Drosophila melanogaster: one gene and its partners. Changing the gene in region 1 together with any one later gene gives a genetic interaction. Each region holds a gene or a part of one and is shown in the gene's direction. Other genes may lie near its edges.

The links.
Region 2: of Uba1 (region 1) and Stat92E, changing one suppresses a phenotype caused by changing the other (phenotypic suppression), as found in Drosophila melanogaster (one study listed by BioGRID).
Region 3: of Uba1 (region 1) and Ras85D, changing one suppresses a phenotype caused by changing the other (phenotypic suppression), as found in Drosophila melanogaster (2 studies listed by BioGRID).
Region 4: of Uba1 (region 1) and hid, changing one suppresses a phenotype caused by changing the other (phenotypic suppression), as found in Drosophila melanogaster (3 studies listed by BioGRID).

Annotation. Positions count from the first base shown.
Region 1 is NT_033778.4:9,686,900-9,696,579, reverse strand, and holds Uba1 (ubiquitin activating enzyme 1), read left to right. Parts: upstream 1-3,251; 5' UTR 3,252-3,539; coding exon 3,540-4,298; intron 4,299-4,876; coding exon 4,877-6,598; intron 6,599-6,660; coding exon 6,661-6,969; intron 6,970-7,026; coding exon 7,027-7,812; 3' UTR 7,813-8,291; downstream 8,292-9,680.
Region 2 is NT_033777.3:20,547,280-20,554,089, reverse strand, and holds the start of Stat92E (Signal-transducer and activator of transcription protein at 92E), read left to right. Parts: upstream 1-2,982; 5' UTR 2,983-3,369; intron 3,370-6,810. Other genes in the region: att-ORFB (uncharacterized protein), read left to right, coding at 1-194, 255-506; DPCoAC (dephosphocoenzyme A carrier), read left to right, coding at 1-194, 255-520, 777-963, 1,034-1,181. UniProt on the Drosophila melanogaster protein: Might play a role in signal transduction and activation of transcription.
Region 3 is NT_033777.3:9,509,389-9,516,294, reverse strand, and holds Ras85D (Ras oncogene at 85D), read left to right. Parts: upstream 1-3,227; 5' UTR 3,228-3,507; intron 3,508-3,842; 5' UTR 3,843-4,003; coding exon 4,004-4,142; intron 4,143-4,298; coding exon 4,299-4,555; intron 4,556-4,613; coding exon 4,614-4,787; 3' UTR 4,788-5,734; downstream 5,735-6,906. Other genes in the region: mRpL47 (mitochondrial ribosomal protein L47), read left to right, coding at 429-532, 611-893, 945-1,222, 1,276-1,426; Rlb1, read right to left, coding at 1,484-2,848, 2,906-2,932; rump (rumpelstiltskin), read left to right, coding at 6,285-6,859. UniProt on the Drosophila melanogaster protein: Ras proteins bind GDP/GTP and possess intrinsic GTPase activity. Plays a role in eye development by regulating cell growth, survival of postmitotic ommatidial cells and differentiation of photoreceptor cells.
Region 4 is NT_037436.4:18,181,797-18,188,947, reverse strand, and holds the start of hid (head involution defective), read left to right. Parts: upstream 1-3,306; 5' UTR 3,307-3,825; coding exon 3,826-4,156; intron 4,157-7,151.

The DNA of each region.
Region 1 (9,680 bases):
ACTTTCAGTGCACAGATAAAAACTGATAGCTATTTAGTTCATCAGAGTAACATTTAAACGAAAGCTGACCAAATATGAGTGCCTAATTATTTGTCATACTACTACGACTACTACTACTACTGACGCTACGCCTTATTAGTTGGCAAATCTATAATTCATTATATCACACACATTTTCTCCGCACTCCGCCGTGGGCCCCAATTAGCAGTTACCTGGGCAGCAGACGCACTCACCTGTGGCCAACTGTCCACGCCCTCGTGCAACTGCAACAATGCCGCCGCCGCGGGGCCAAATCAAAATTGCAGCCAGCACTTCCTTCGAAGTTTCATTCGGGCTCTTACATTGACCGGCTTCCCTCGACTTTCACACGTTACTCAGCGAGCATAAAGCGGCGCGTATTTAGGCCAGAAAGAGCTGGTACAACGCATAGGGGAAGACCAGCAGCAACTAGCGGCAATCCACTTGACCAACTCACTGGAGGCCCAGAGCCAAATCACCGAAGCGTTGGATTTGTAACGTATTTTCCAAGGCGGCAGGGGACACTTCTTCAATTGTTGCGATCGTCTTCCTTCTCCTCATAGATGGTGGCTGTGCGATAATGCGCATTTTCCCAGACAATTAAAGCGAGGGAACCGCTCGTCATTTAGTGGCAATACTCGTAGGACAAAAAGATGTTGATCGCCAGAAGAGATATATTTTCTCCTTGATAAACGCAATTCGAGACACTGGGCTAGATGGGCACCTCGGTAGTTGTGGCTCAACAAGGAGTCGTTTTCCACAATCTTGGGGTTAGTCAAAGGAACAATTGTCGCTCTGAAAGAAGCGGAGTATTAAAATGCCACCTAATGCTGCGTGCCTTTCGTGTTATCCTCAATGTTTTAGAAAAAAGTTGGAACTTCAGGCATAATTTTTAAGTGAAGGGGACATAAAAAGACTTTTCTAACAGTTTAAGGAGAGTTTAATCATTTATCTATTTATTTATGAAAAACCTCCCAGCTCTCTTGATTTTAATGAGCATATGTTTCTTGTTCTTTTTAAATTCAATTTGCCGAGTTGTTGTTACAATAATTTGGTGTAGGATAAAAAAAAAAAAAAAATAACCCAAAGCCCTTTGCCAATTTTTGGGAATAGGCATTTCTACCCTGCCAGCCGCTGACAGCGGCGAAATTAATAGTGCCAGCCATTTTTTCAGCGGCTTTTCATATTCAAATTACATTCCCAATTGATTAATGGTTGAATATTTGCATAGGGATGATGCGTGGCCATATGTGATGTGCTTAATTAGGGAGGGCGGAGTGCATTCCACATATGTACATACGTATGCATGTTTATATCTCTTCGGGGGCACGCGATGCAGAATATTTGGAGGACAGATGGGCAGCAGACACCCCCGCTCATTCGCTGCAGGATCAGTATGCTAATTTGGCAGGAATTTGTGTTTTTCGGGTTATACCACGCGACAAGGACGTGGAACACACCGCACGCGATAAAGTCCGCGGCTAGTTTCTCGATCCTATCGAGATCGGACTAAAATTAGAGCGTCGGAGGAGGGAGGGGGGAATTTCTAAAACGGGAGCAGCATTTCGCGCAGCTGTAGGCGTAAATTAAAATGCATTTTACGCAACTGTGCGACAAGATCCGGGCTTTAGATCCTGCAGCTGTTGCCCCTCGTACTGCATTTTCCTAATGGCACGCTCTCAACACTTGAAAAGGACACACCCCCGCCGCTCGGAAAACTGGTATAGGATAGCTCTCTGTTTTTCGTGGAAATTTACGCATTTTCATGCTCGACTACCGTTGCACAGAACAGAAAGGGAACCCCGACCGAAAATAGATTAGCCGCTCTCAAAGGATATTGAACCCGGCCAGGACCAAGCGACACCGAAGGACTTCGCCGTGGGTCAGTTGGTGTTGGTTTGTGGGACAACTGCCGAGGGGCGCGTGCCACGATCGGGGTTTTTGGGCCAGGATAATTGCCTCAAGTGCCGACAGATTGATGACCAGCAAACTCATTGAAGTATATATTTCAATTTCGAGCTAATGGCTTAGAAGTTGATGAAATCGGAGAGTAAAGAATTATTAAATTTAAGTTTTTTGAACACACATCTATTAAGAGGTTGTTCTACGTTTGAAATATGTATTTGCTAAATTAACTTTCAATCGATATTATGTCACTCACAAAAACGAATATTCCAATATATTTTATTTATTCAAAATATTGTGAATATTGCTTTATTTATAGAAGAAGGGAACACAATTTTTGAATTGTTTAGAAAAATAAGAACGATCTATTAAATGGCATAATTCAAAAATATCAAGTTTAAGCCATATACATGTATAAGTTACTTTTAAGTTTGACCAGTACAAAGTATATAGGAATTTATAATGGGGAAGCCAAGCTATATTATAATGAATAATTATTATTATTATAATGAATAATATCAAGATATCAGGGTTGTGCTTGCACCACAATTATGAAAAATAAAGTAATGACCCAGAAGTCTGTTATCATCTATTTATAAGCAGTTTGAAACAAATTAAAACCCACTTTAAATTTTATCAAATAAATATATTACCAATATACATTTAAATTTCGAACATTACATAGCAAAAAAATGTCAATTGAAATCAACAAATTTTTGAAAATGCGAGCCATATTTTCATTAAACGAGCTTGTATTTTTTGAACCCGAACCGTTTTTTTTTTCAAGTTTAAAAAGAATTAACTAACTCTAACAAAATCTAATATTTCAGTCGGTGTAGTAAAAACATAAACATAAACGATTTCAAATGTATCCTGAATACGCGGTAAACTTGTGTTTACCAACACCGCCTCTTAGACTATTCAGGCCTGCCAGATCTCCAAAAAAATATTATTTAGATAAGTTAGTGACACAAAAGGTTTAAGTCTTAACTGCGCTTAGCTGGGCTTTAAACCCACTGCCTATTCTTTGCTAATTGGAGTATTGCAAATCAGTTTTGAATCTGATTTATTTGTCCCGCTTACCAATTTTAATTGTGTAAATTCATTTGGTTTTACTTGGCCAACTTACAAATAATAGAATAATAAAAATGAAAGCCGTCTGTTTAATTATTAAAATAATGTGAATTAATTGGATTATTAATCTGGGCGTTATTATATAGAAAAGAAACCTAACTAACCAATTGCGGAAATATCGATAGCATCGCAATAAAATCTATATTGTGCCACCTCCAATTCACACAGGTCGGTCACACTGGGCAGGCTTGCCAATTTCAAGAGCCGCGGCCACACTACTGCGAATTCTATACTGCAACTCGATCGTGCGTGTTCTGTATTTTTGGGAGTGCGTTGTTAGAAATTCGGCCACAAATAGAATCCGCTGTCCTGGAACGAGTCAGAAACCACGGGAAATTGACTTCCGGACTAAATAGCGTTCTTGTGTGTCCATCCGTGTGCGTGTGTCCGCATTCTGCAGTGTGCGTGTGTGCGAAAGAGAGAGGGCGAGCGGTGCAGCCGCAACTGGGAAATTCGATTGCCAATATTTCAGCAAGGAAGCTATGTCGAGCGGTCAGCAATTGATGGCCGATTCGCCAGCCTGCAGCTCAAGTGACCATTCGCCGCTGGCCAAAAAAAGGCGTTTAGAGTTGTTGGGTGACGGAGTGGGGGCAATGGGAATGGAAGAGGAAGAAGCCGGCGGAGCAACGAGCAGCAGTAGCAGCAACAACTACGAAAATCACGACAAAGCAGGCGGCGTTGACATTTCGGGCAAGTGCCAGAGCAAGACGACTAGCGAGCACCAGCTGGAATTGTGCGTATCGTCGTCTACCTCTGACACATGCGGCGTTAATGCTGCGGCGAAGCGAGCCGAAAAGCAGAAACTGAAACAGAGCCAAGGAAGCGGCGACGACGTTAGTACCTCGTCAGCAGTGGAAAAGGAAGGAAGCAAGCGGCCGGAGAAGCGCAATTACCTGAACACCACCACAATAGAATCGCAAGAAGCCTCCTCCAGTGCATCCGCCACTAGCAACAGCAACAACAACGTCAGCTCCAGCAACAATAACAGTAATAACAGCACTAATAACCGACAACTGGAAGGAAGCAGCAACATGGCTGGAAACAGTGCCGCCGCCGGCGGAGATATCGATGAATCGCTGTACTCGCGCCAATTGTACGTCCTGGGTCACGATGCGATGCGTCGGATGGCCAATTCGGATATCCTTCTGTCGGGACTTGGAGGACTCGGCCTGGAGATAGCCAAGAATGTGATTCTGGGCGGCGTGAAATCGATCACCTTGCATGACACAGCAACTTGTGGGGTATGTGTGTGGGGCGAAGAAAAAATCGATAATTTTCCAGGCGGACGCGGGAAATGCCCGGAAAGGCTGACTTGGCATCCCTGGTCTTAGTGAATCATTCAGTTTTTATTTGATTTATTTATCATAGACTTCGCGCGAAATAAGGTTAGGTTAACATCTCTATTTGCTTGCAAAAAATTCGTTTTGTGTGTGTAATTCGGTTTTCCTTCTTTTTCTATTTGCCTCAAAATGTCTGCGCCATGCGAAAAGTGTGTGAGCGGGACAACCGTATGCGCATCGCTCGCTGCCGTTGTGTTTGCATTCCCCTTTGCTCAACGCATTCGGTTTTGTTTTATGCACTGAAAGATTCAACTTAAGATCTATGAGTTTCTCATAAACCGTAATATATCAATTATTTAGTTAATAGCCTTTCAATTTAAAGTTTTCTTGTATCATAAAAACTTTTTTGTTCTAATGACAAATATGTCTTTGCTGTACACTCGGCACAGAACCAATTTTCCTTTGTTAGTCATGGCTCCCGTCTGCTAATTTCATCACCGTTGATATATAATATTAATGATTATTCGTTTGTCTTGCAGCTCCATGACTTGTCGTCGCAATTCTATCTCACGGAAGCCGATATCGGCAAGAATCGTGCGGAGGCCTCTTGCGCCCAGTTGGCCGAGTTAAACAACTATGTGCGCACCGTTTCGCACACGGGGCCGCTTACCGAGGAGTTCCTGCGCAAGTTTCGCGTTGTGGTACTGACCAACTCCGACGGGGAGGAGCAGCAGAGGATCGCCAAGTTTGCCCATGAAAATGGCATTGCTCTGATCATCGCCGAGACGCGCGGACTGTTCGCCAAGGTGTTCTGTGACTTTGGCGAGAGCTTTACCATTTACGATCAGGATGGCACACAGCCGATCTCCACCATGATAGCTAGTATCACGCACGACGCACAGGGAGTCGTCACCTGCCTGGACGAGACGCGCCATGGTTTTAATGACGGTGACTACGTCACCTTCTCGGAGGTGCAGGGCATGCAGGAACTGAACGGTTGTCAGCCCCTTAAGATCACAGTGCTGGGACCCTACACATTTAGCATCGGTGATACCAGCAAGTTTGGAGAATATAAGAGCGGAGGAGTGGCCACCCAGGTGAAGATGCCCAAGACCATCAGCTTCAAGCCCCTGGCACAGGCCACTGAGGAGCCGGAGTTTTTGATCTCCGATTTCGCAAAGCTGGACTCGCCGGCCACGCTGCACGTGGCCTTCAATGCCCTCTCCTGCTACCGCAAGGCCCATAATGGAGCCTTACCGCGTCCCTGGAACGAGGAGGACGCCAACAGCTTCCTCGAGGTAGTCCGAGCCAGCAGCAACGCGGAAGTCGACGAAAAACTGGTGCTGCAATTCGCCAAAATCTGCTCGGGTAATACGTGCCCGCTGGACGCGGCCGTTGGTGGAATTGTGGCCCAGGAGGTGCTTAAGGCCTGCAGTGGAAAGTTTACACCCATCTACCAGTGGTTGTACTTTGACGCCCTGGAGTGTCTGCCCACAGAGGGTGTCGAGGAGGCGGATGCCCAGCCGGTGGGCTCGCGCTATGATTCTCAGATTGCCATATTTGGCAAGAAGTTCCAGGAGAAGTTGGCTGACTCGAAATGGTTTATTGTCGGCGCCGGAGCCATTGGTTGTGAGCTATTGAAAAACTTTGGAATGCTGGGCCTGGGAACTGGCAATGGCCAGATTTTCGTCACAGACATGGATCTCATTGAGAAGTCGAATCTGAACCGGCAGTTCCTGTTCCGCCCGCATGATGTGCAGAAGCCTAAATCAATGACGGCCGCCGACGCTATCAAACGGATGAATCCGGAAGTGAATGTCACCGCATACGAGTTGCGCGTTGGCGCCGAAACAGAGAAAGTCTTTTCCGAAGATTTCTTTGGAAAGTTGGATGGTGTAGCCAATGCGCTGGACAACGTGGATGCTCGCATATATATGGATCGCAAATGCATCTTCAACCGCATTCCGCTCGTCGAGACCGGAACTCTGGGAACTTTGGGCAACGTTCAGGTGATTGTGCCCTTTGCCACCGAATCTTATAGCTCCTCCCAGGATCCCCCAGAAAAGAGTATTCCCATCTGCACGCTGAAGAACTTCCCCAATGCCATCGAGCACACTCTGCAGTGGGCGCGTGACGCCTTTGAGGGCGTCTTCAAGCAGTCTGCAGAAAATGCTGCTCAGTACATCGCCGATCCTCAGTTCACCGAGCGAATCGCCAAGCTGCCTGGTATTCAGCCTCTGGAGATCCTCGATTCCATCAAGGTAAGGATAGAATTTACTTCTTTGCCTAATATGTTGTACTTAATGGTAATTTATTTTTACAGAAAGCTCTGATCGACGACAAACCCAAGAGTTTCGCGCACTGCGTGGAGTGGGCCCGTCTTTATTGGGAGGATCAATATGTTAACCAGATTAAGCAGTTGCTCTTTAACTTCCCACCTGATCAGATCACCTCCAGTGGTCAGCCGTTTTGGTCTGGTCCCAAGCGGTGCCCCGATCCCCTGGTCTTTGATGTCAACGATCCCATGCACCTCGACTTTATCTACGCAGCCGCCAATCTTCGAGCTGAGGTCTATGGCATTGAGCAGGTTCGCAATCGCGAGACGATCGCAGAGCTGGTACAGAAGGTTAAGGTTAGTTGTTCGAGATTAATACCGTCGGGGACCATTTCTGATATTATTGATTTATAGGTGCCCGAGTTTAAACCCCGTTCGGGCGTGAAAATAGAAACCAATGAGGCAGCAGCCGCCGCCTCGGCCAATAACTTCGATGACGGCGAGTTGGACCAGGATCGCGTTGACAAGATCATTTCAGAGCTGCTAAAGAACGCCGACAAAAGCTCCAAGATCACGCCACTTGAGTTTGAAAAGGACGACGACAGTAACTTGCACATGGACTTCATTGTGGCCTGCTCAAATCTACGCGCCGCCAACTACAAGATTCCGCCAGCGGATCGCCACAAGTCCAAGTTGATTGCTGGCAAAATCATACCTGCTATTGCCACCACCACGTCGGTGCTCTCTGGATTGGCTGTGCTCGAGGTGATTAAGCTGATCGTCGGCCACCGGGATCTCGTAAAATTCAAGAACGGCTTCGCCAACTTGGCATTGCCGTTCATGGCCTTCTCTGAGCCGCTTCCTGCCGCCAAGAACACATACTACGGCAAGGAGTGGACGCTGTGGGACCGTTTTGAGGTGACCGGGGAGCTGTCGCTGCAGGAATTCCTCAACTATTTCGAGGAGAATGAGAAGCTTAAGATCACCATGCTCTCGCAGGGCGTGTCCATGCTGTACTCGTTCTTCATGCCCAAGGCCAAGTGCTCTGAGAGACTGCCGTTGCCGATGTCGGAGGTCGTGCGTCGCGTGTCCAAGCGTCGCCTGGAGCCACACGAGCGATCCCTGGTTTTCGAGATCTGCTGCAACGATGTGGATGGCGAGGATGTGGAGGTGCCCTACGTCCGTTACACGCTGCCCTAAGCCCGTCTATATTCCTAATTTAACCATTAAATTATTTTACGATCCCGTTTTGTTGTCGGCGACGCGTTTTGGAATCGCGCAGCTCCAACGAAGGAGTTACTGTCTAGCTGTTTGCATTTTAATTTTCACAACACCATTACGAGAGCAGCCCAGATCTAGAAATTATATAAAATGTGTGTGAATCCTCTAAGGAATGGCAAAATAATACGCATCATACGAAATACAAAGACTCGACTAAAAGCAACACTTAAAATGCATCTGATGAAACTCTCTGCTCAGCATAGTTGTAAAGGTAACGAATTACGAAAAACCGAAGGCGGATTTTAATCGCATTGATTAATTGGAAATTGAAAACTGAATGAGCCAGGCGGAAAATTTCTCTTCACTCATATATTTTTTTTATATGGAAGCATAAACTAATTACGTCATTGTATTAAAAGGAGTAAAGCAAATGAATAAAGCTGTATATTTCATATGGTAATCGACCTGCTAGACGACTCAGATAATTTCGTTCAGCACTTGACGTCTGGTAATCTCATTTCCCCCGCCACTTCGGAAATTAAAATTGTAATGCATACTGCTCTGCCAGTGAAGTATATAGGGGATGCCATCTATCCGTACGCCAGTCAGTTTCAGAAAGTTACGTGACACAATTAAATATTTTATGCCCTCTCAAGACGTTTATACCACCCCCGCCCCGCACCCAAGGAGGCTGCTGCCACCAAAGTGCAATTGGCAAGTGCCGTAAAGTTGCACCGCTCATGGAAAGCGTTGGGCGGAGTGGCGGCGTCCTCTTATAATTAAATATTACACGCAATGCAACTGAAGTATGGCCAAAGTTATGCAGTTTCGCATCTCACTCTTGGCCTTTTGCGGCTTTTTGGCAAACTTGCTTGAATTATGCAGTTAATGAAAACAAAGCGAGGCGAGGAAAGTGGCTGCGCCGATCAGCTTTGTATCCGTCGAATAAGTGTGTTCTGGGCAGGGTAATCAAAGTTTTGGGTTTGTAGTTCGACTCCTTAGGGCTCTGATTGTTAGCATCTAAGTATTTAAGATTTACATATAAGATCGTCTTATTACTTAGAGCTTACTTTAAAAAGATGAGTGAACAAACTATTTACAAGGCAAAGTGGAAATGCTGGGTCAGAATTAAGATTAATACCTATCTAAATTTGAGGTGAAAGTAGGTGACTAAGTTTTCAAATAGAGCTGGGAAAATTAGAGATACATTACAGGAGTACCACAAGAGATTTAGAATATGAATATTCCTGTTCTAACACCACATTACAGTACATTTTTATGTTTTTTAAGATTAGTTTCTCAAAAATGAACAGACAATTTTGTTTTATGAAAAGAGTAATCCAAATATTATTCCATATTATTCATTTCGTTCTATTGGTTTTGTTAAGCTGGACTTCTGAATCACTGAAATGTAAAGACTTACATGTACATTTTTCGATCGTACATTCATATGTGCATTACGTACATATGTGCCCATTAAAATGCTTTCTTTGTTGCGACTGCGTATTTTGCGTGATTCGCGGGGATGAGCCCATAGATTTAAATCTCCCCGCTCTTACGTATAGAGTGCGTCAGCTTTTGGTACGAACATCTGCCTAGCGCCAAAAAAAACCAGAGGCTGTTGACTCACGGGAAAAAGAGTGTCACTGGGGAGCTCTTCTGTCGTCTTTTTTTTGTTTTTTTTTTTTTTTTTTTTGTGAACCACTCATCCATGACCGCTTTCAGGTGTAAAAAAAGAAGAGTTTCAGAACAATACTCGTAAATTGTACACCGAATTTCGCTCTTATCTCGACTGCTCATCAAGCTAAAAGCTCGTTGTTAAATTCCCAAAATTTGTTAAATTTGGG
Region 2 (6,810 bases), on another chromosome or scaffold:
ATCCGCAACGATGTGCCCTTCTCGTTTCGAGCCTCGCTGCGCTACCTGCAAAACACCTATGCCAACGAGGGCGTTTTGGCCCTGTGGCGGGGGAACTCGGCCACGATGGCCAGAATCGTGCCCTACGCAGCCATACAGTTCACGGCCCACGAGCAGTGGCGTCGCATCCTGCACGTCGACAAGGACGGCACCAAGTGAGTTGTACTATGCTCTAGATTCTCACCAACTTCATGGCGAATCATTCTATTTTGCAGCACGAAAGGTCGTCGGTTTTTGGCTGGCTCCCTGGCGGGAATCACCTCACAGTCGCTGACGTATCCTCTGGACCTGGCACGCGCCCGCATGGCCGTCACGGATCGGTATACTGGCTATCGGACGCTGCGACAAGTCTTCACCAAGATCTGGGTGGAGGAGGGTCCGCGGACGCTGTTCCGCGGCTACTGGGCGACCGTTCTCGGCGTGATTCCCTATGCGGGCACCTCCTTCTTCACCTACGAGACTCTTAAGCGGGAATACTATGGTAGGAATACTACCTATATCCTAATATAAAATTCTATAGACTTAGGGGAGATGTTCATTTAAAAATTCTTGTATATTGTATATGTCCATAGAATTCGGTTTTAAGCCCCAAGTTTATTGTGGAATTATACAGATAATTTCAATTTAAACCGGCATTCTGGGTCATTGTCATTATTTTGATTATGCTAGTAGAAGTTACCTATATTCTAATTAAGTGCTCACTGAATTTGCCAACTAAATGACTTGTTTGCTTGCAGAAGTGGTCGGCAACAATAAACCCAATACTCTAGTCTCGCTGGCCTTCGGTGCTGCGGCTGGTGCCGCCGGGCAAACGGCCAGCTATCCATTGGACATTGTGCGGCGAAGAATGCAGACAATGCGGGTGAACACGGCTGGCGGAGATCGGTACCCAACCATCCTGGAGACTCTCGTCAAGATCTATCGGTGCGTGCAAATCTTTGTCAACGATTTTATTCATATTTTAATTGCGATTTTAATTACGATTTCCAAACAGTGAGGAGGGCGTCAAGAACGGTTTCTACAAGGGACTTAGCATGAACTGGATCAAGGGACCCATCGCCGTGGGCATCAGCTTCTCCACCTACGATCTGATCAAGGCGTGGCTCACGGAGCTGGCCAACTTGAGACGGGTTGAGAAATAGCCCAGCTCCCTGCCCCTGCCACTCGTCACCCATAAACACCACACCAAAAACGCACTGCTTTGATCTTAAGTCTCGCGATCGATGGATGAGCTGAGGAAATAGAAGTGAAGCACCGACATGCTCTAATTGTTAGATATTTTTTAGCTGTTAGTTGTGAGGGAGAGAAGCGATGAAGTGAAGACACCCGAAAGCGCTTAACTTTGTTATTAACCGTAATTGATTTATTATCGCCGTAAGCCGAAAGTATATCAGCCAATAAACTGTCTGAATAATGACTCGCCTGGCACATACTGCTCCCCAGGACCTCGTATTCAATGGTGTTGCTTTGACAATAACACTCCTAGATTAATGATTACGATTTACCCGAACATTTTGTATATTGTGTATTGCCAACTCAATGTCAAGGCGCTGCGACTGTTAAAATAGTCATGAATTTGAGGGTGTTCACACCAGCATATACTATGTAATTCTTGTATGTTAGTGTGTTTTTATTATTAAAATTTACAAAATTGTTTAACTGATCGATTATCTCAATCGTTTTTAAAACGCGCGCCATCGGTTGTGACAGGTGGCACCTCCGGCGATTACGCGATAACATCTTTTGCGGGGGTGCTGTATATCGAAATATGCTGGTAGTCGCGTTCGCAAAAATTCGAGTGCTCGCAAAACGAAAACAACGTAAATTTAGTGCGTTTTAAAAGTGATAATTAAGACTATTTGCCCTGGAATTAGGTGGCCCAACAGCCGTGAGCTGCAGGCGGTGTTGTTTTAAGGATAAAAAGCGTTTTTCCCCCAACACCTGCCATAACCAAAAAGGCAATCTGAAAGGTGAGTGATTTGCTGTGCTGCGCCGATTGTGGAATGGATTAATTATTTAAGGCCTATTGATTAGACGGGGCACAGCCTTAAAAAAACCCCTCTCCGAGCACCAACCCTCTTCATTTAAAGAGGGTCGGGGGTGGCATTCTCATGCTCGCTTGTTGCTGCGCACAACAGGTGAAAATTCAGAAGTCGCGTATGTTTATATGCAGAATACACAAGAGTTGGCAAAAGACCATTAATTGTGCTTCTCTGCGTCTGGGGTAACCTTGACTTTCGGTGGACAAATCAATCAAATGCAATTAATTACACCGCCAGCGGTGCATATGTGTGGGTGGCAGCTCGTGTGTGTACAGACAACATGCGCACTCATATCTGCGGCGCCACAATGATGCGAAAATGGGTGTAAACCCCCTTTGATAAATGTTTGTTTATCGCAATTAGCTTCGCAAATTGTTTATTCTTTAGCAGCCGACAGTGCTGTTAACTTAACAGGGGTGCGAGGGTTGCACTTCGGGTTATCAGAGTTTTCCACCATCAAATTCATTTTACTTCTAAATAATAACTTCAATCAACTTATTTTTCTTTAATTAACTCACAAAGTTTAGTGGAATATTAGCACGATAGAGATATATATTTCGTAACTTGTTTAGTCTTAATGTTTCTTTTAGAACATCTTTACGAAAAATCCTAAATGCTATTTGTTTAATTATGTGCATTCCAAGTCAAAAATTTATAAGTAATAACAATTCAAAAATTTTGTTTTACCATAGTTATCGAGCTTTGGTCCCTGGTTGTTAACAATATTTTACTGCGCTGCTCTATAAAATTAAATCAACTTATTTTCTAATTAGAATTTCCTATCTTCCCGGTTTGGCAGAGATTTATCAGAATCGATACCCACTGTTAACAGCGATTGTTCACATGTGTTCATCGTCCGATAGTATCGCATGTGGATCGCTTTCGCTCCAACTCTAGAGACGCGGCAGTCGTTTTTTAGCCACTATAGGGAATTGTTCGAATGCGGAGCAATTTTCAAATGCGCAACCAGTTGAATTCTTTTGCAAGTGCACTTTGTTTTCAAGGATTCGTTTAACTGATAGGATTTCCTTTGGTCGAGACTCTAGTTTTTTTTTCTAAATTCTCAGTGCGTGTGCGGGTGTGCATGTGCGTTCCGTCTCCCTCGCACTGCGTCGTGTGTGTAATGTTTGTGTGTGCGTGAAGCCAGCGCGATTTAAAAATAAAACGGCAAATACATAATAAAAAATATCGAAGAGCAACAGCGGCAGGCGTACCAATACAAACTAACCGATACCAGCCAGCCGTGTGTGTTTACACAGTGTTGTGCGTTGGTGTTTGTGTACCAAAGGTAAATAGAAATAGGAGAAAAAGAGCAACAAATTTACGAGTGGTGGGGGGTACGTATATAAATGCGTGTGTGGGTGGGAGGACTCCGCTGCAAATGTGCACTGCGCAAATAATGTGGGTGGGCGTGTGGTGGTTCCGCAAGGCCTTCACGAAGGTTCTCTGCCTTTTGGCCACAAATTCGATGCACCATCATCATGTGTTTCCACTTGACGCTTTATTTATACATCAACAAAATACCCACACACATGCACATGTGTTCTTCACGCTCCTGTTTCCCGGTCTTCTTCTTCCCCGTTCATTGTTGTTTCCTGGAAAGCCCATAAAAACAAAGGCAACAAGAATTTCGAGTGCAATAGCACAAATGGCAGCAACAACAACACTGATATCGAGTATATTAGCTGTTCCCCATCTCACCGTCCCACTCGCTCCCTTGCACAGCGAGAAAGCGAGGCTATAAAACTAAAAATTATATATATTTAATGTCCTCTGTTTAAAAAATTAAGCTTTTTTGTATAAATACATAATACAATTTTTTGTATAAGGCATTGGTAAATTAATCCCATGTGTTGGGGCCCGATTCAACACCTGGTATCACAACATTTGGCAACACATATTTAACTGTTACTCTAGCACTATTTTTTCAAGTGTCTGACGTACGGGGCCCTATCATTCTCATATTCACATGCTACTCTTGCTTTCATACGTCGCCGACTTCTGCGCGCTCAACACTTTTATCTTGCTCGCTGTCGTCGGTCGCTTACTGCCCCCTCCTCCGTCGCGGGCTTCCCCTCTCTCCACCATGACTTCTTGGCCTGGCTATAACCCGGCTGGCTTCTACCACTTCGGACAAATTACGATTGTCAGCGACGCCGACGTTAGCTAACCCCTTGGCGTTTCACATTTGATAAACCCGATCGCATTGCTGTGGACACCGTAGATTATCATTGGTCATAGTGGGTCCTCCAATCAATGGCCAGGTGGACGGTCAACTTACATAGGTTAGTTGGCAGAGGGGTTTCTTCGTTTATGTCAACTAATAAAACGCATACATTATATAACTACCATTATTTATTAACAGTGGTTAAAATCATTAATTTTATAGATGAAAGGGAGATACAATATAATATTGTACTTTATTCAGAATTGTATTTACGGTCTGAGAAACTATATTTTACATTTAAAGTTCACCCTGAATTGAAATAAAGTAGTAATGTGGCTTTTATATATTGAAAATATATTGTATATAGATTCGAATGAACAGATATACTCTAAATGCCACGATACTTAAAACTATAGGGTGCTCAAAGTTCGTTTCCCCAATTAGTTCTTCTATATCGTGTTGGAACTCACTCCCGTCAGATTTGAACATATGTATTTATGCAGCAAAGTTTATCGCCACCAATCCAGTCCACCACATGTGTTTAAAGTTATTTCTGGATCTTCGATATAGGCAGTGCTAATTATTGCGCTATTATGCGAATCACTATCCTCAAGCGCAAATCAAGCCGGCTTCTTATCGGCGACTCTCGTTATTTACTTTGTTACATTGACACCTCGTTATCAAAGTCGTTTATTGCGTTGCATTTCATTGTCGTAAATGGAGCACTCTGCTGCGCCTTCAATAGATTGGGGGCCTACTGTACTTACACATATTGTGCCTGCTTATCGCTGGCAAAATGCTTTTCTGGTGGTAGTAGATGGCCCCCGAACTAGCGAATCAAAACTTCAATCTATAGTTTCTGAGGAAGTTACTTTGAGGAACTTACTACAACGTATTTTACAAATATTTTTGTCAATATGCCCAATTATCAAGTTTGAAACCCGAAAATCTGTCTAGCTCGTAATCAAAGCTGTACTTATTATTAAAAAATTAAAGATCATATTTATTTATTACTTGAAAAACCCAAATCATTGGTTATGGAAATATTGACCCTAATGCTAATTAGTTTTTGAAAAACAAATAAGTAATATAGAGCAGTAAAAAATGGATTCAATAGAGGATTAATACATTTCTGCGAATCTTTTGTTGCACTCCGCTGATAAGGAGTCCCATTTATTGGAATTTTGCTAAGACTTTACAGTTAAGCAATAAAAGACAATGTTTGGTAGCTGTATTGTTTGATAACCTGACTGACTTCAGTCGAATAATCACTTTTCGAACCATTGAGCACCAACACAAGACTGATAACTGAGTGATACCCAACCATGATTGTATTTGTATTGCAGATGACAGTTTGGACAAATATTCCTTAATTACTTTATTTTTTGACAAATAGACTTGAGCACATATTTTATGAGCTTAAGATCGGTGGGATTTATGAACAGATAAGTGAGGTCATCGGGGCAAGTGTGACAACAAACATTGATCTGTTCGCGGAACGAGCATTATGTGGTGATAAGAAACCGTGTGCCGACACATTACTTAGCTCAATATAACCCAATCGATCCGGTGTTTCTCGTTAGACGAAACAAAAGCCGACAAACATCGTGCAAAATGTCAGGCGAGCAGCAACGATAAATGATTACTTAAATAATACTTGGTGTGGCAAAGTGGTGGTGGTGGGGGGGCTCACTTTGGGCTCGGTTGGGGGTGGTGCAACGGCGAGGTTTCCATTGTCGATGTACGGCGTACACCCACACAACCACGAGGAAAAGAACACTGAGGCATGCTTATTAAACTTTTATGAGTACAAAAACAAATACCACAAACGACTCTCGTTTCTCACAGGGCAATCGTAAGTGTGTGCGTTGTTTATAAAAAATTGAACAAGAAAAATATAAAATGAACGCGGCTGGCTGGCACAAATGTCGAAGCAGCAGAAAGCAAAAAGCAAAAAGCGAAAAGAACAGCCAGGAACAACAAAGGCAGCACACCCGCGCTTGGGTGTTTGCAATCGTCGGTTTTCGAAGTGGTCAGAAATGCTTGGACGCCATACTAAGGGCCGAGGAAATTGTAGTGACCCCAACCAAAGCTCTACGGGCATAACAATCCCAACTTTGATGTCATGCCCATACAAATTTTCCCCCCACAGAGTGCATGACTAATATTCAAATTGGTGTGTCCAACTCAAAGAACGCGAATTTTTATAAAGTTATATGCCAACACTTTTATGGTTTATTTAAATAAATTGTATTATTGCTAACATATGTATGAACGTCGAGATCGCTAGAACTTTAAAAGCTAAAAGGTTTTGCTATTGGACATACAAATTCTACGCCCACAATATTTTGTATTTTATTATTAACTATTTTTATTGATATTTCAAATGAATTTTGAATTCCCATTTTATTTTATTGTGCAGAACGTATGCTCCATACAAAAAGTTTGATTCCGCGCAACGAGGTATCACTGTCCCAACTTACCTTTTATGATACGTAGTTCCAACCAGTCTTATCAGTGCCGGGCTGCTGCCATAAAACTTTCCACTTGCCGCACTTGGAT
Region 3 (6,906 bases), on another chromosome or scaffold:
ATCACACATGCATGCACACAGCCAAACATTAAGTTGGCGTTCCTTGGCATACAAATTGGATTGGATGGAACAGAGAAGATGACAGTGCAGCGCGTTGTTTTTTTCGGGGAGTGGCCACTTCACTTACATTTACTTATTGCATGTTGTGTAATGGCTTGAGCCAAACTTCTGTAATACTTTAGCCCGTGTAAACTTCAGTCGATTTGAAGCGAAAAATTCGATTTTTCATTAGCACTGAGCGAAGCGCAACTAGAGCTGGCCAACAAGTCGATGCTGAAATTATACTATCGACTAATTTCAGTTGAAATGCATGGCAGCCCTGAAATGGAGTAAAGCCCGGCTAAAAATGTAGTACGCACGCAATCCAATAAATCGATACAAAAAAGTATCGATTGTTATTGCTTCAGCTGTTTTGTTCGGTCGAAAAAATGTCTTCGGCGTTAATAAAATGTTTAAATTTGGCAAAAACTGTGGGAAATGCGACAGTCAGGAGCTTTTTGGCAGCTCCCAAGCAGCCATGGCAGTCGTGCAGGTCCGTTCTCTTTCACAAATCCGACTTTTACACAGAGTAACCGATATAAACGCGCCTTTGTTTTTATGTAATATGTAGTGCGGCTGCCCTGCAAACGCCGCATGTTCAAATGCCGATGCAAATGCACACTTCCGCTGTTCGCCGGGATCTTATGGAGTTCTTCGACGACAAGAAGAACTGGAGCGAGAATGAGGTGAAGGTGGGCCGCGCCTGGCGGACGGAGGAGCTGCGTATCAAGTCCAACAAGGAGCTGCACCAGCTGTGGTTCGTGCTCCTCAAGGAGCGCAACATGCTGCTGACCATGGAGCACGAGTGCAATGACAAAATGGAAGTCTTCCCTAGTCCGGAGCGCATCGATAAGGTGGGCGATATTTGATGGTGGAGATCCTTTTCTAAAACTTTAGAATTGCAGGTGAAAATCTCCATGGAAAACCTGGAGACAGTAGTGAGGGAGCGGAACAAGGCGTATCACCTGCTGGAAACAGGTGAAACGGGTGAACGGCCCCAGAAGGCGGTGAAGAACGCATTTGGCCTGCAGGTCTCATACAAAGCATGCGAACACGCCCTGCCGCCCTTCATGAACCTCAAATGGATTAAATCCCGCAACATTGGCTACGGCGGCAGAGCTGTGAACAGATTCCTCTTAAAGTACAGGGAGAAACTCTACAATGCCAAGCGCAAGGCCAAGAAGTATGTTGCCCTTAGTTAAATGGGATATCTCAATAAAAATTGTTATTTTGCAGCCGCTCCCGCAACGAAGTCATGATGATCCTGCGTCGCAACCCCAATTTCGATCTGGATGTGCTGCGTCGCCAGTTCCCCGATGTCAACGTGGACAAGCTGCGCAACGAGGACAAGATTCGTGGTCACTATGTGCCCAAAGTTGGCGTGTGAGCAGCAAAGCTGCAGTTATTTAGTTATTAAAACAACAAAATACCATTGACATCATCTTTAATCTTCGTCAAACTTAATCTTTGTGCCCTGAAACGCGGCAATTTTCGGCTTAAACTTCTGTTTGGCCACCCAAGACGGGTGCATGCCATCGGTGGGCAAAGGAGCAGCAGTAGCGGTTAATTGATTGATACTTGGAGCAATAATTTCCGCCGCCTGGCCGTCGTCGCCGAATGTAATCTTCTTGCCTCTAAAATCACCAATGATTGGTTTCTGCTGTTGCTTAGCCAGCCAGGAGGGATGACGATCATCAGTTGGCTTTCTCGCTTTGAACTCTGGCTGTCTTTCCGGTTTCTCCCGATATGTGTTCGACCGTCGATCCTCATTGCGGAACCTTTTGACTGGCGGCGGTGCCTGTTCCTCATCAGCTTCGCTGTCATTGTCCCCGGAAAGAACCACGGCGCTGGACAAGTAGGGCTGGCCTGATTCCGTAATGAAGAAGGGATCAACGACATGTGTGGGACGATTATTGTCAAGTTGTGGTTCTTCTTCATCGATACTTGGCTGCCTTTCTAATCGTGGCTTAGGCTTCTGCTCTCTGGCTGGTTTTTTCTCGAAGGGTTTTGGCTTAGATTCTTTCGGTCTGCCTTCTAGTTGTGGCTCTGCATTATTCTCCTTGATTGTATTTAAATTCTGCTTTTTGGAACTGAGCTTAGTTATCTCCGGGTTGATCTGCTCATCAAAAGCTTGTTTTTTCTGAAGGTTTCTTTCTTTTTTGGCTGGTGTTTTAGGTGTCTTTTCCTTTTTGACTTTGAGAACTGGAGAATTTTCAGTTTTTGCAAAAGACTGTGGTATTTCCTGATCATTTACTTTGCTGACTTGAAGAGTGGGCGTTTCCGCAGTTGCTCCATTAACATCTGCATCCACCACTTTGTTCTGCTCTAACCACTCCAGTCGGTTTTTGGTTTGGGCCTTCTGCTCCTTCAGCTCCTTGCGCTTCCTCTTCCGCTCCTCAGTGCGTTCTATTTTGGCCCTTCGCTTGCTCGTCTCTAGGATCTCCTCACGCCACTTGGCCTCCTTATCGGTGGTGCTCAGCTTCAAGGTTTCCACAAACTTGTCCACCAGTCCGTGCATCAATTTGTTTAGCCGCAGCATGGCAATGCCCAGTTCATCCGGCGTGGAGCGCTCGTTAGCAATCACCGCATTGGGATTTGTGCCCTCCTGCAGGAGCGACTGGCGTACCATATCCATATATTTTAGAGCCTTCAACTGGGCCAGGCATTCTGTGTTCTTGCGTAAACGAATCTTTTCCTTTTCACTGTCTGGATTTTTGGCCAGAGCCTCTTTTGTCTTTCGCAGCTTTTGTACGATTTTGGCGATGGTCTGGGCGCGTGCCTTTTGAATGACCTTCTTGTTGGATATCACCTGTAAAAGTTCTTTTTAATTAAAACTCTATAATTTTAAATAAAATCGTTTATTTACCAAATTATTGAATTTCAATCTGTCCATGCTGTTTTCGTTACAGTGGTGGTTGAAATAATAGACTCAGGCTTGAGTCCGTGCTAAGAAACGGTGATGCCAGCCCGTTGAACTTAAATTAACAATTATTAAAAGCAGAAAGCGTCTGCCAGTTTTTACAGAAAGCTGTATTGATCAAATCATTTATTAGTTTAAGCAAATTATAGAGAGTCGACTGAAGTGCATCCACCTCTTTAGATTAGTTTTCATATAGCAATCGCTATTGCAAGTCCATCGATGGTGCCGGCCAGAATGCAGCCATCGCTATCGATAGTGCCATCGGCTTGGTGCCAGCTCTAGTATCTTCACAGCTACGTACAGCCTAGATTTCATCTTCATTTCACATACGGATTTATTGTTTTCCTGCGCTGTTAATTGCAATTACCGCACGGCAATTAAATTGGTGCCATCGAGGAGTACCGCCTGTCGCACCGTTAGCCGCGAAAGTGACGTGAAACGTGCCCAGCAACTGCGCCGCGCGCGAGAAGAGAGAGGCAGAGTATTGATAGAGAGGAGCGGAGCGGAAAAACAAGGAGGAGCTAGCTGAAGAGGCAGCAACAAAGAAGGTCCGCAGCCCCGGCAGGCAAAAGAAAAATAATAAAGAAAAGGGCTAAAAACAACGCCGCCGAATTAGCAAATTCACCTAGTTAACAACTCGGCTATGGGGGAGACTAACTAATTTGCATTGAGCGAATGGGTTTTAATTTTAGTTTGAGTCATTGATCTCTTTTTCCCATTTTTTTTTGTGTTGCCCGTCTGGCTGTGTGCATGCAGTGGTGCGTGTGTGTTTGTGCGAGTAAGCGCCTAGTCACAGTGACTCAGTGACGTGCATTAATTCCTGCCTAATTATGCGTTTAATTTATTTTAATCAATCTTAATTAATAATTTACTCCACTTGCAGCCCATACACGCACAGTCACCCACACAAACACACGCAACAAGCGTACGGAGAGAGAGACTGCATCTGCGGGCGCTTCACAAGAGAGTAAGCATCGATCGCGAGAAAGAGACTGTTACTGTGACATTTGACTACGGCAAATCGAAAACGGACGCCACAGCCAAATGACGGAATACAAACTGGTCGTCGTTGGAGCCGGAGGCGTGGGCAAGTCCGCGCTCACCATCCAGCTAATCCAGAACCATTTCGTGGACGAGTACGACCCCACAATCGAGGACTCTTACCGAAAGCAAGTGGTTATCGGTGAGTTATATGTACTTAGATCTGGCAAAGCTAGGGCTGCACAGGTCCAAATACTCTAGAGATTTCTGCACCCTTTCGCTGGTTTGGTTTCCCGTTTATACTAGAAGAGACCTTAAGAAGTTGCGATATTCAAATGCATTTTATATTCCCCTGCAGATGGAGAGACCTGCCTGCTGGACATCCTGGACACCGCCGGCCAAGAGGAGTACTCGGCCATGCGGGATCAGTATATGCGGACTGGCGAGGGATTCCTGCTGGTCTTTGCCGTCAACAGTGCGAAGTCCTTCGAGGATATCGGCACCTACCGTGAGCAGATCAAGCGCGTAAAGGATGCCGAAGAGGTGCCCATGGTGCTGGTGGGCAACAAATGTGATCTGGCCTCGTGGAACGTTAACAACGAGCAGGCAAGAGAGGTGAGTACCGGCCTTCAGAGTTCCGAGCGAACATTCCGTTAATTATGGTTGTTCTCAGGTGGCCAAACAGTACGGCATTCCATACATTGAGACATCCGCCAAGACGCGCATGGGCGTGGACGATGCATTTTACACACTGGTGCGCGAAATCCGCAAGGACAAGGACAACAAGGGGCGGAGGGGCCGCAAAATGAACAAGCCGAATCGTAGATTTAAATGTAAAATGCTCTAAACGGCCACGCATTGGTTATTATTCACTTTTTATTTCTTCAAATGTCGCCTGTTTGTCTGTATGTGCGTCGGCGAATCGCCGATCGTCCTGGGCTCGATGGTTTGTCCATTTTGGACACACAATGCGAAAAACACACACATGTGGGAGCGTGTTGGTCGGTGCAATTGTCAGATAAAAGAAGAGAAATTGTAATTAATTTAAGTAACTAGAGTTTTATGTACGTCGAAATGATTTTGTGAATGTGTGTGTTTTGTGTCGTTTGAAAGGCTGCGAGGCGCCCTTTTAAGAGTATTAACAATAACAAGCAAACAAAAACGAACGAAGCAAATCGAAAATGAAAATGAATATGTACCTCTACATAAAAACTATGAATACTGTTGTAACTGCCTTGGTTCAGCTGCTATATCCGTTTGTTTTCAACCAGCACTTAACTTGATTCTATGTTGTTTGTACTTCAACAGATACTCCGTGCTTAAAACCGAAACGCGATGTAAACAAATATTGTGTATTTTTACAGCCCTGTTATCTATTGGTTTCAACCCGACAGTCATACATAAATGTAATCTTTTTTCGCACACACGCACGAGCAGAATTCCATTAGTATTCATCATTAGAGAACAAACAAGCAAAAGCCGATAAGCTCACAGCAACTTTCGCACAAACGAGTAAATTCGCTAGCCCCAAACTAGATTTATGTTCGGTTAAACACATATCTGTGGTGCTACGATGATGAAATTATAATCCGTATGAGTTCTTGAGATTTGCCTTTCTTTCTACTTACCATACTGACAGATCAATCGGAGAGAAAACAAACAGCCAATTAAATTTACATTATATAGTTTGCTTTAAGCTTTTTATACATACATACATACATTTAATATTTAATTTTTTGTATTAATTTTTGCCATACAAAAAGAAACGAAATAAATCGATTGTGTGTACTATTTATGAAAAGTGGTTTTAGTTATTCCATAGTTTTGCTTTTGTGGATTCTATTTTTCCATCTAAAGTCTCCTGTCTTGTTGAGCCAAATATTCTATTATTTGAATTTTTGCGTTGCGCGCGTAAATTGCAGTATGCCTACATTTCGATAATTCGAAGAGCATTTTCGAATATCGGCGATGTCTAGTCGATAGAAATCTGAGACACGTCCAAATATCAAACCATCGATGAATGTGCTGTCATCGTATCACTGTCAACTCTAACATAGACTTTTGTACGGTTTTCTATTGATCTCGGAAACTGTAGTTTGTCACAAGCGTTTGTTCATTGTATAAAATTTACTACGCCGAAAGCAGCAAAATAGAAATATTACCAGTATTAAGAGCACAGCCAACATCAAAAGGTAAGCCATAACGCTAGCATAGAAAAGAACATTTGGCGAAAAAGTCGATTGACGCGGTCGCCATTTTGTTTTCGCGGACGCCGCTCCGGGTGTGTACTACTACGAATATTGCAAGAACTACAAAACGCATTGCGAATCCCTTGCAGACAACAATGAGCATGGACGCTAGTAACTCGGTGGAGAGCCGCGAGAAGGAGCGCGACCGTCGTGGACGCGGAGCACGTGGCTCCCGTTTCACGGACGCTGATGGCAATGGAAACGGCGCTGGTAGTCAGGGAGGTGGCGTCGCTGCTCGCGACCGTAGCCGGGAACGTCGCAATTGCCGGGTCTACATTTCGAACATTCCATACGACTACCGTTGGCAGGATCTGAAGGATCTGTTCCGCCGCATCGTCGGCTCCATTGAGTACGTCCAGCTGTTCTTCGATGAGAGCGGCAAGGCTCGCGGCTGTGGCATCGTAGAGTTCAAGGATCCGGAGAACGTACAGAAGGCCTTGGAGAAAATGAACCGCTATGAGGTGAATGGCCGCGAACTGGTGGTCAAGGAGGATCACGGCGAGCAGCGCGATCAATACGGACGCATTGTGCGAGATGGTGGTGGTGGTGGAGGCGGCGGTGGCGGCGTACAAGGAGGCAATGGTGGCAACAATGGAGGAGGTGGCGGCGGTGGCCGTGACCACATGGATGACCGCGATCGGGGTTTCTCCCGGCGAGACGACGACAGACTGTGAGTATTCCCTTTACGCTTATATCCTATACGTATGTGCACTTTTT
Region 4 (7,151 bases), on another chromosome or scaffold:
CCGGCTGCTACTTATGGCAAATATGAATTATTATTTATTTTTATTGAAGCGAACGGCGGCGTTTTCGTCACAATTTTTTGCGTAGCCAGCCAGAAATAATAGTAAACCCAAGCTGAGAAATTTATTTGTTTTCATTGTTGTTGTTGGGCTGCAGAAATTGTGTAATAAATAATTTACGCTCGCTTTTGCAGCGTGCCACATAATCATATTCAATAATAATAAAAGCAACAGAAAAATGGGCTGGGCACCAGTTAAGGAGGGGGTGGGGGGTACTGTCGACGAGAGCAAGCAAGACGGGCAGTGGGAGCGAGCGGGATGGCAGAGTGGAGCTTGTTTGGGTCGCTGACCCAGAAATGTCAAACAGGGAAGTCTTTTAATTTGTATTTCTCCATACTCCATTTGATTTGCCTCTATCGCGTGGAGAGCTGATTTGTGGGACTTCAGTACTGATAGGACTGGATATTTTTTAAGTGTTCTCGGACTGTTAATATTGCAGTGGTAAAAATCGGAATCTAACATAGATACAATACATACTTACATACTTACATATGTACATGTATGTACGTCTTATTTTAATTTCTTTTTGAAGGTAAATACATATGTATGTAAAAATTTAAGTTTTAATAAGTTGTTTAGATTTAACACGAAAAGTTCATTAACTCATCGTTTTTGGCATTGTTACTCTTTGTTAAAATATACATACATATATTAATTTCTTTTATTTAAAATGTATGTATTTCAATTGAAAATAAGTTGCATTTTGAACACAATCTAGGCGTACAAATACGAAACTTCTTTGAAAAAGTATGGAAAACATGGCTACTGTCTTTGTGTATCCAGAAACTGCGTGCTATTGAATTTATAACACGCAAACGGTGCTGCCTCAAGTTGATTTCATCACCCCCATTCAAAACACTGTTATCTGAAAACCCCACCCATTTTTAAAATGGCCTGTTCAATCGCGCATTTTTCAAGACAACACATTACTGTTTATTTTGCTTTTTTCTGGACACTGACAGCCAATTCGACGACACAGTGCACTCATATTACGCTTAATCAGTTTCGTATCCAAATATTTTGTATTTATTTTGCACTGCCTCGAGTAATTGGAGTTGCGAACGGGAAAGATATACAAATAATATAATAAAGGCGATCTAAAAACATAAGCAGAGCTGAGGGAAAACAAAAAATAAATCACAAAAATCGAGCCCCTTTTTTCCGATTAATCCCCGTTTTCTCCGCCTTCACGTACTTTTGTTCTTTTCGCTTTGGACTTCTTCGCTTGTTGCATGCTCGCTCATGTTCATGTTTTTTATGTCGTTTTGTGCAAGAGTGTGCTTGAATTTCGTCATCTTGGGAAATCCTTGCATAATGTACATATTCATGTATGTTCATCCATACATACTTACGTACATACATTTGTCGTCGAGTCGTTTAGCTTACGTGTTATCGCACTTTATCGGCATATTTTTGACCTCAATCTTAGTTTATTAAATAAAGAGAGTTTTTGGGTGAAAACAAAAAAGGTGTCAGGTAGGGCTAAAATCATTTTTGATTTTAAAAATTTAAGGTAATCATTTAAGGGATATGAACAAGTATAATAAAACTAGATTAAATGCAAGTGCATTTTCTTCAGAATTTTCGACGGGCCTCTTTTATTTTGAAATATGGGCTATTAAACTAGTTTTAGGTCTAGAATCTAATTTGTTTTAAATTATATTGCGAACATTTTATAATACCACATTATTAAGAGAGCTACTAGAGCTACATAGATACAAAGCTAATAAATGGATCTAAAGTAATGCCAGTTACGAGAATTATTTGCCGTAAAATTTAAATTAAAAGCCAAGAATTGTTTTACGCGTATTTCGTAATTTTTTTCAAGCGTTTTCGCGCGCAAAGTTGGGAATGACAGAGAAGGAAATAGAGAGAGAGAGAGAGAGAGAGAAAAGGAGAGGAAAAAGCCTGTTTGTATAATGTGTGGGAGGGAGAGGGGAAGATGCAGAGGAAGACAAGAGTAAGAGCGAAAACAGGTTTTTCATGTTGCACAGTCAATTTTTGATATATGGTGAAATTGATTAAATATAGCCAACATCCAAATCGGAAATGTAATTAGCTAAACTCCTTATCGTATATTCAAAAACACGTTTGAAATGTTTAATGTGAATGAACGCCAACTAAATAGTCTTTATTACATTGCTTGAATACCCAAAATATAAAACAATTTAATTTATTTTATTAAATACAATAAACTAGCTAATCATTCTCTGCATAAATGTACATACATACATACATATGTACATTCATTTAGCCAGTAAAACCTGAGCTAAGCAAGTTGGATCCTTTGTTAATCATGTTGCTATTTTTCAAATTTATATTCAAAAAAAAAGTATTGAACATTATAAAATTGTGAACTTCCCTTCTCAAAATATTTTAAAATGTGAGAAAGTAATCAAGCTTTGTCTAAAAACTCCCTTTTTTCTACTACCTTTTTAACTCATTTAATCCGCTCATAGAATATACTCCCATTTATCATACTCTTTCTACTCCGGTTTTTTGGCCTCTTAAGAACGCTTGCTCTCCCTCCGCTCTCTTGTTTAAACAAATACAAATCAAAACCGAAAGCAAGAGCAAAGTGCAATAACGAAAACCACAAGCAAAGAGTGTTGTACAATTGCAGTTTTTGTTTTGCTTTAGCGTTCGCTAGGCAGCGCAGTCGGATATACTGCCTCTTCGCTACTTCTGATGAGTTTTCTTCTTCTTCTGAATTTACCTGCTCGACAAGATCTTTGTGTACCCACACATACACGCGTACACAGCCTGCCCACACACTCTTAGTTGAAACGAGAAAGAACGTTTTGTAAGAGTACCAACTGAGACATACCCTTCACATTGTTTGTGCATCTAAATATGTACTTTATGTTGTAAGTAAATATGAGTTATAAAATAGTGTTACTTCAGCAATTAGTGCGCTGGTACAATATTTCAGTTTTTTCAGTATGCGAAAGCCAATCAATTAAATTTTTACAACCTTAAAATCTAGATATGTTAACTATGCTCCTTGATGCATTTATGTAGACGCAATTCATGGTCCGAGTATACTCTTCCTCACTCAGCTATTACAGGGTAGGTAAAGAGCGGGATTTTTTAAAATATTTTTTTTCTCTCAAGTGTGCCTCCTTCATGCACGTGCATGTGCAGGAGAGGGAGCGAGAGAGATTGCGATTGCACTGGCTGCGCGCCTACGCTGCCGCTCTGCCGACGTCGCGGTAGAGGCTCTGTTGCCGTAGTTTGAGGCCCCAGTGCGAACAGTTCATTTTTAGCCGCGGAGCCAGTAAGACGTGTTTCCTGCCCTCTTTCTTTGAGTCTGCGACACGTTTTAAGTGCTCTTCCATAATTGACAACAGCAAAAGCAAAGAATAAAAAAATAACAAAAAATAAAAAACGAAATCCATCGTGAACAGTTTTGTGTTTTTAAATCAGTTCTAAACACGAAAAGGGTTGATGAAAAACGCAGAAGAATCCGAAAAACTAACTAACCGAGCAAAAACTTGACTTGAGTGTTGTTTGACAAATCAGGAAAGATAAAAAACAAATCATAAGAAAAAACTGCACGAAAAATGAAAAAGTTTCTAATATTCAAAATCTTGCACAAGAAATACAAAATCAATTAAAGTGAACTCTAACCAAAAGTTGTACACAAAATAAAAAGCAAAACAAAGCAGCGAAGAACAATCACAAGAAGAGCAAAGTGCCAACAAAGTGCAGGAAGGAAGGAAGCGGATAAGGACAAAAAGGAAGCCAGCACACACACACACCCACACAATGGCCGTGCCCTTTTATTTGCCCGAGGGCGGCGCCGATGACGTAGCGTCGAGTTCATCGGGAGCCTCGGGCAACTCCTCCCCCCACAACCACCCACTTCCCTCGAGCGCATCCTCGTCCGTCTCCTCCTCGGGCGTGTCCTCGGCCTCCGCCTCCTCGGCCTCATCTTCGTCCTCCGCATCGTCGGACGGCGCCAGCAGCGCCGCCTCGCAATCGCCGAACACCACCACCTCGTCGGCCACGCAGACGCCGATGCAGTCTCCACTGCCCACCGACCAAGTGCTATACGCCCTCTACGAGTGGGTCAGGATGTACCAGAGCCAGCAGAGTGGTAAGTCTACAAAGATCTCAATTCTCCACTCTTAAGAACTTTGAAATTGTGTGGGTTAATCAGGATATCCATTTAGTTTACCTCAAATACATTTGCAGATACAAAAATAAGTTTCGATTCATATACGGTTATTAATTGCGAAATGTTTAAGAAGTTCCCACACAGAATAACTGCTTACGCATGTTGGTAATATATTTTCTAAAATGCTTATAACCAACACTTTATTTAAGCCCACTTGTTTTGCTATTAACAAGAAGGATTTTCATAGGATCTCCTTGTAAAAGTAAACAAAAAATGTTATTAACTTGAAATTGCTTAAAGAATAGTAAATTTATTTCTTTCGAAAAAACAGCATTTTAAATGTTTGAAGATATTTTCAAACTAATAGATTTGATCAATAAAAAATGGCGAACAATTTTTTTCTATACAAGCGACTTTAAAGGTTTCATATTTTTGATTACCGCTTTTAATATCATTTAGTTTAGTTTAAGAAAGTTTCTGGACAGCCGGAGGGTTTCCCTCATTTTAAAATGGGTCAGCAATTAGCCAAGTTGTGACGTTATTTGTTAACTGCTTCAGTTCCCCTTGTGCAAGTTTCACTTTTCAAGGTTGTTGATTCATCCAGTTTCGAGTAACTGCGTCAACTGCATCCAGGTTGTTTTTGTTTACTTTTACCCAGTTTTTTTTTTATTTTATATATGGTCAATTCAGCACTTTGTCAGCTTATCAGCAAAAAAAAAAGTGTAAAAGGCAGAGCGGAAGGCAAATTTCTCGGCCACATTCGAAAGGAAGCCGAAAAAACGGTAATTCAATAAAAATTAATCGAACAAGTTCAAAAAGGGGAAAATTGAGAAGTAATTGAGAAGTTTCGATTGGAGGAGAGAGCAAACTTAATAAACGAAGTCACAAAACTGCAAAAACTCAAAATCATGTGGGGAATTACTGGATCAAATTCCCAAAGTGGGAATCTTACAAATTAAAAAATTTTGTATTGAGACAAAAATCTACTTATGTTATAAATAAATGAAAATAAAGTAGAAATGGTGATAACTAGCTCGATAAATCACATTAAGATCAATTTCCTTCGGTCATGATTATCTAAACTAGGCTGATAAAACTTTTAGTGTGCTATGGCTTTAAGAAAGAAACGCCGAGACACATGCAAGACAACTGCCGAGTTGGCTGTCATGCGATATTGTTCGTAAATATGGTCAAAAAATTGGGCGTGTGCTGGACCAGCAAGAAAATAAAGACCTGGCTGAAACCAGGGAAACATAACCCAGCGGCAATAAAACAGAGCTGGGAGCACAGAGCTAAGCACGTTTAATTGGCACGCGCCAAACTCGAGTCGAATGTCTTACTTTTGAGACTTTTGAGTGAGTGTGGTGTGCCTGTGTGTCTGGGTATCTGCAAGATATCTATCTATCTCGAGCGTACTGCTCGTATATCTTACCACTCGACTAACCCAAATTATTAAACGCCATTTGACCTTAGGCAACTAGTTTTCCGATTTTCCAAAAGGGGGCCAAACGGGTTGAGGGTGTGGGCCATTTGCAAAGTGTTTGACTTAACGGTTGTTTAAGTAGCTTTTGTGCTCGGCCACGTTGAGTGCGGTCAGTTTTTATTGTTTTTCTTTTTTTTGCGCGCGCGCTTTTCATGTTTGCTTTGCGGTTTTTCATTCGCGTTCCTTAATTTTGTGTTGCCTTTGCATAATAGATTTTGTCGCTGTCGATGATTGCCAGCTGCGCTCTTTGGTTCCACCGAACAACCGAATTGTTACTTTATATTATTTTGCTGTTTTATTTGGTTTGTTACCTTTTTTGCTGTCAGCAACAGTTGGTCAGACGAAAAAAAAGCGTTCCCTTCTCGAAATTACAGTGAGTCACTTTTGGGCGCTTCAATCTGTTTTCGTCTATAATATCATAATTTATACAGAGATACTTTTTTTTCGCTTACGAGAGCTGATGCCCAGTGAAAATTCGATTGCGGGGCATTTATTTTGAAAAACGAGCTAAAAAGACTTGACGTTATCGTGAAAGTTTCGATTTAAAAGTAATTTTCCCTTATCTCATTTTCCCGAACCACATCTAAGCCCCTACTCAACGCACGCCGATCATGTACTTTAGTTAGCCACTCAAGAGGATAATTTATCTAATCGTGACACATCCCGAAACTAGTGAACAATGCTTGAAGCCCTTGAAACAAGAAAGGGATAAACTGTAGTTAACCAAGAAGCGAGAACCCTTTTTCCTGGTTCCCCCAGCTATGCCATACATACACACATACATGCAAGCCAGATTCACGGAATACTTTTAGCCAGAAACGCGCTTAGTCATCAGCCAGCTATCAACCCTAAAAGCCTAAAAATGCGAGGCGCAAACAACCCCGACAAAAATTCCTAAATACCAACAGAGCTTTTCCCTACCAAAAGCAAAAAAAAAAATGCGGCAGGGAGCCTTTTGTTTTGGGAGAGGATTATGCATACAGCATCCAGAGCCCACCACGTAACCCATTCCCAATGGCGACCAACAAAAGGTGCAATGACAGCAGCGGTTCCCTAATCAGTGATGGGAACAGGTACATTTTATCTGTTGGCTAATTGGATGCAGATTAAAAGATGCGTAAACCTAGCGGTTATTATGTAAACTATTATGGACTATTACTTTTTTGGTTCAACATTTAGTTATTAACATAGATTTTTGTTATCATAGATAATAATATGTACCTATGTAGGTACAGTGCAGAGTACAAAAATGTTCCCCACCGTACTCAACTCCAAGTTTTGGTCGCTCTGCTTTGGCTTGCAAATTCGCATCATTCGCTTTGCTGTTGCCAACAGCTGTTCTGCTGCTAGGCGTTGTTTTTCGCTGCCGGCGTCTCTGCCGCACTTGACATTTTCAACCATTTTGTTTTGCTCGGCAACTTCGTGTAGGTGGACTTTAGTAGAAAAGAGGAGCCATAATGGCGGCAAAAATGGCGACTCCTGCCGCATCCT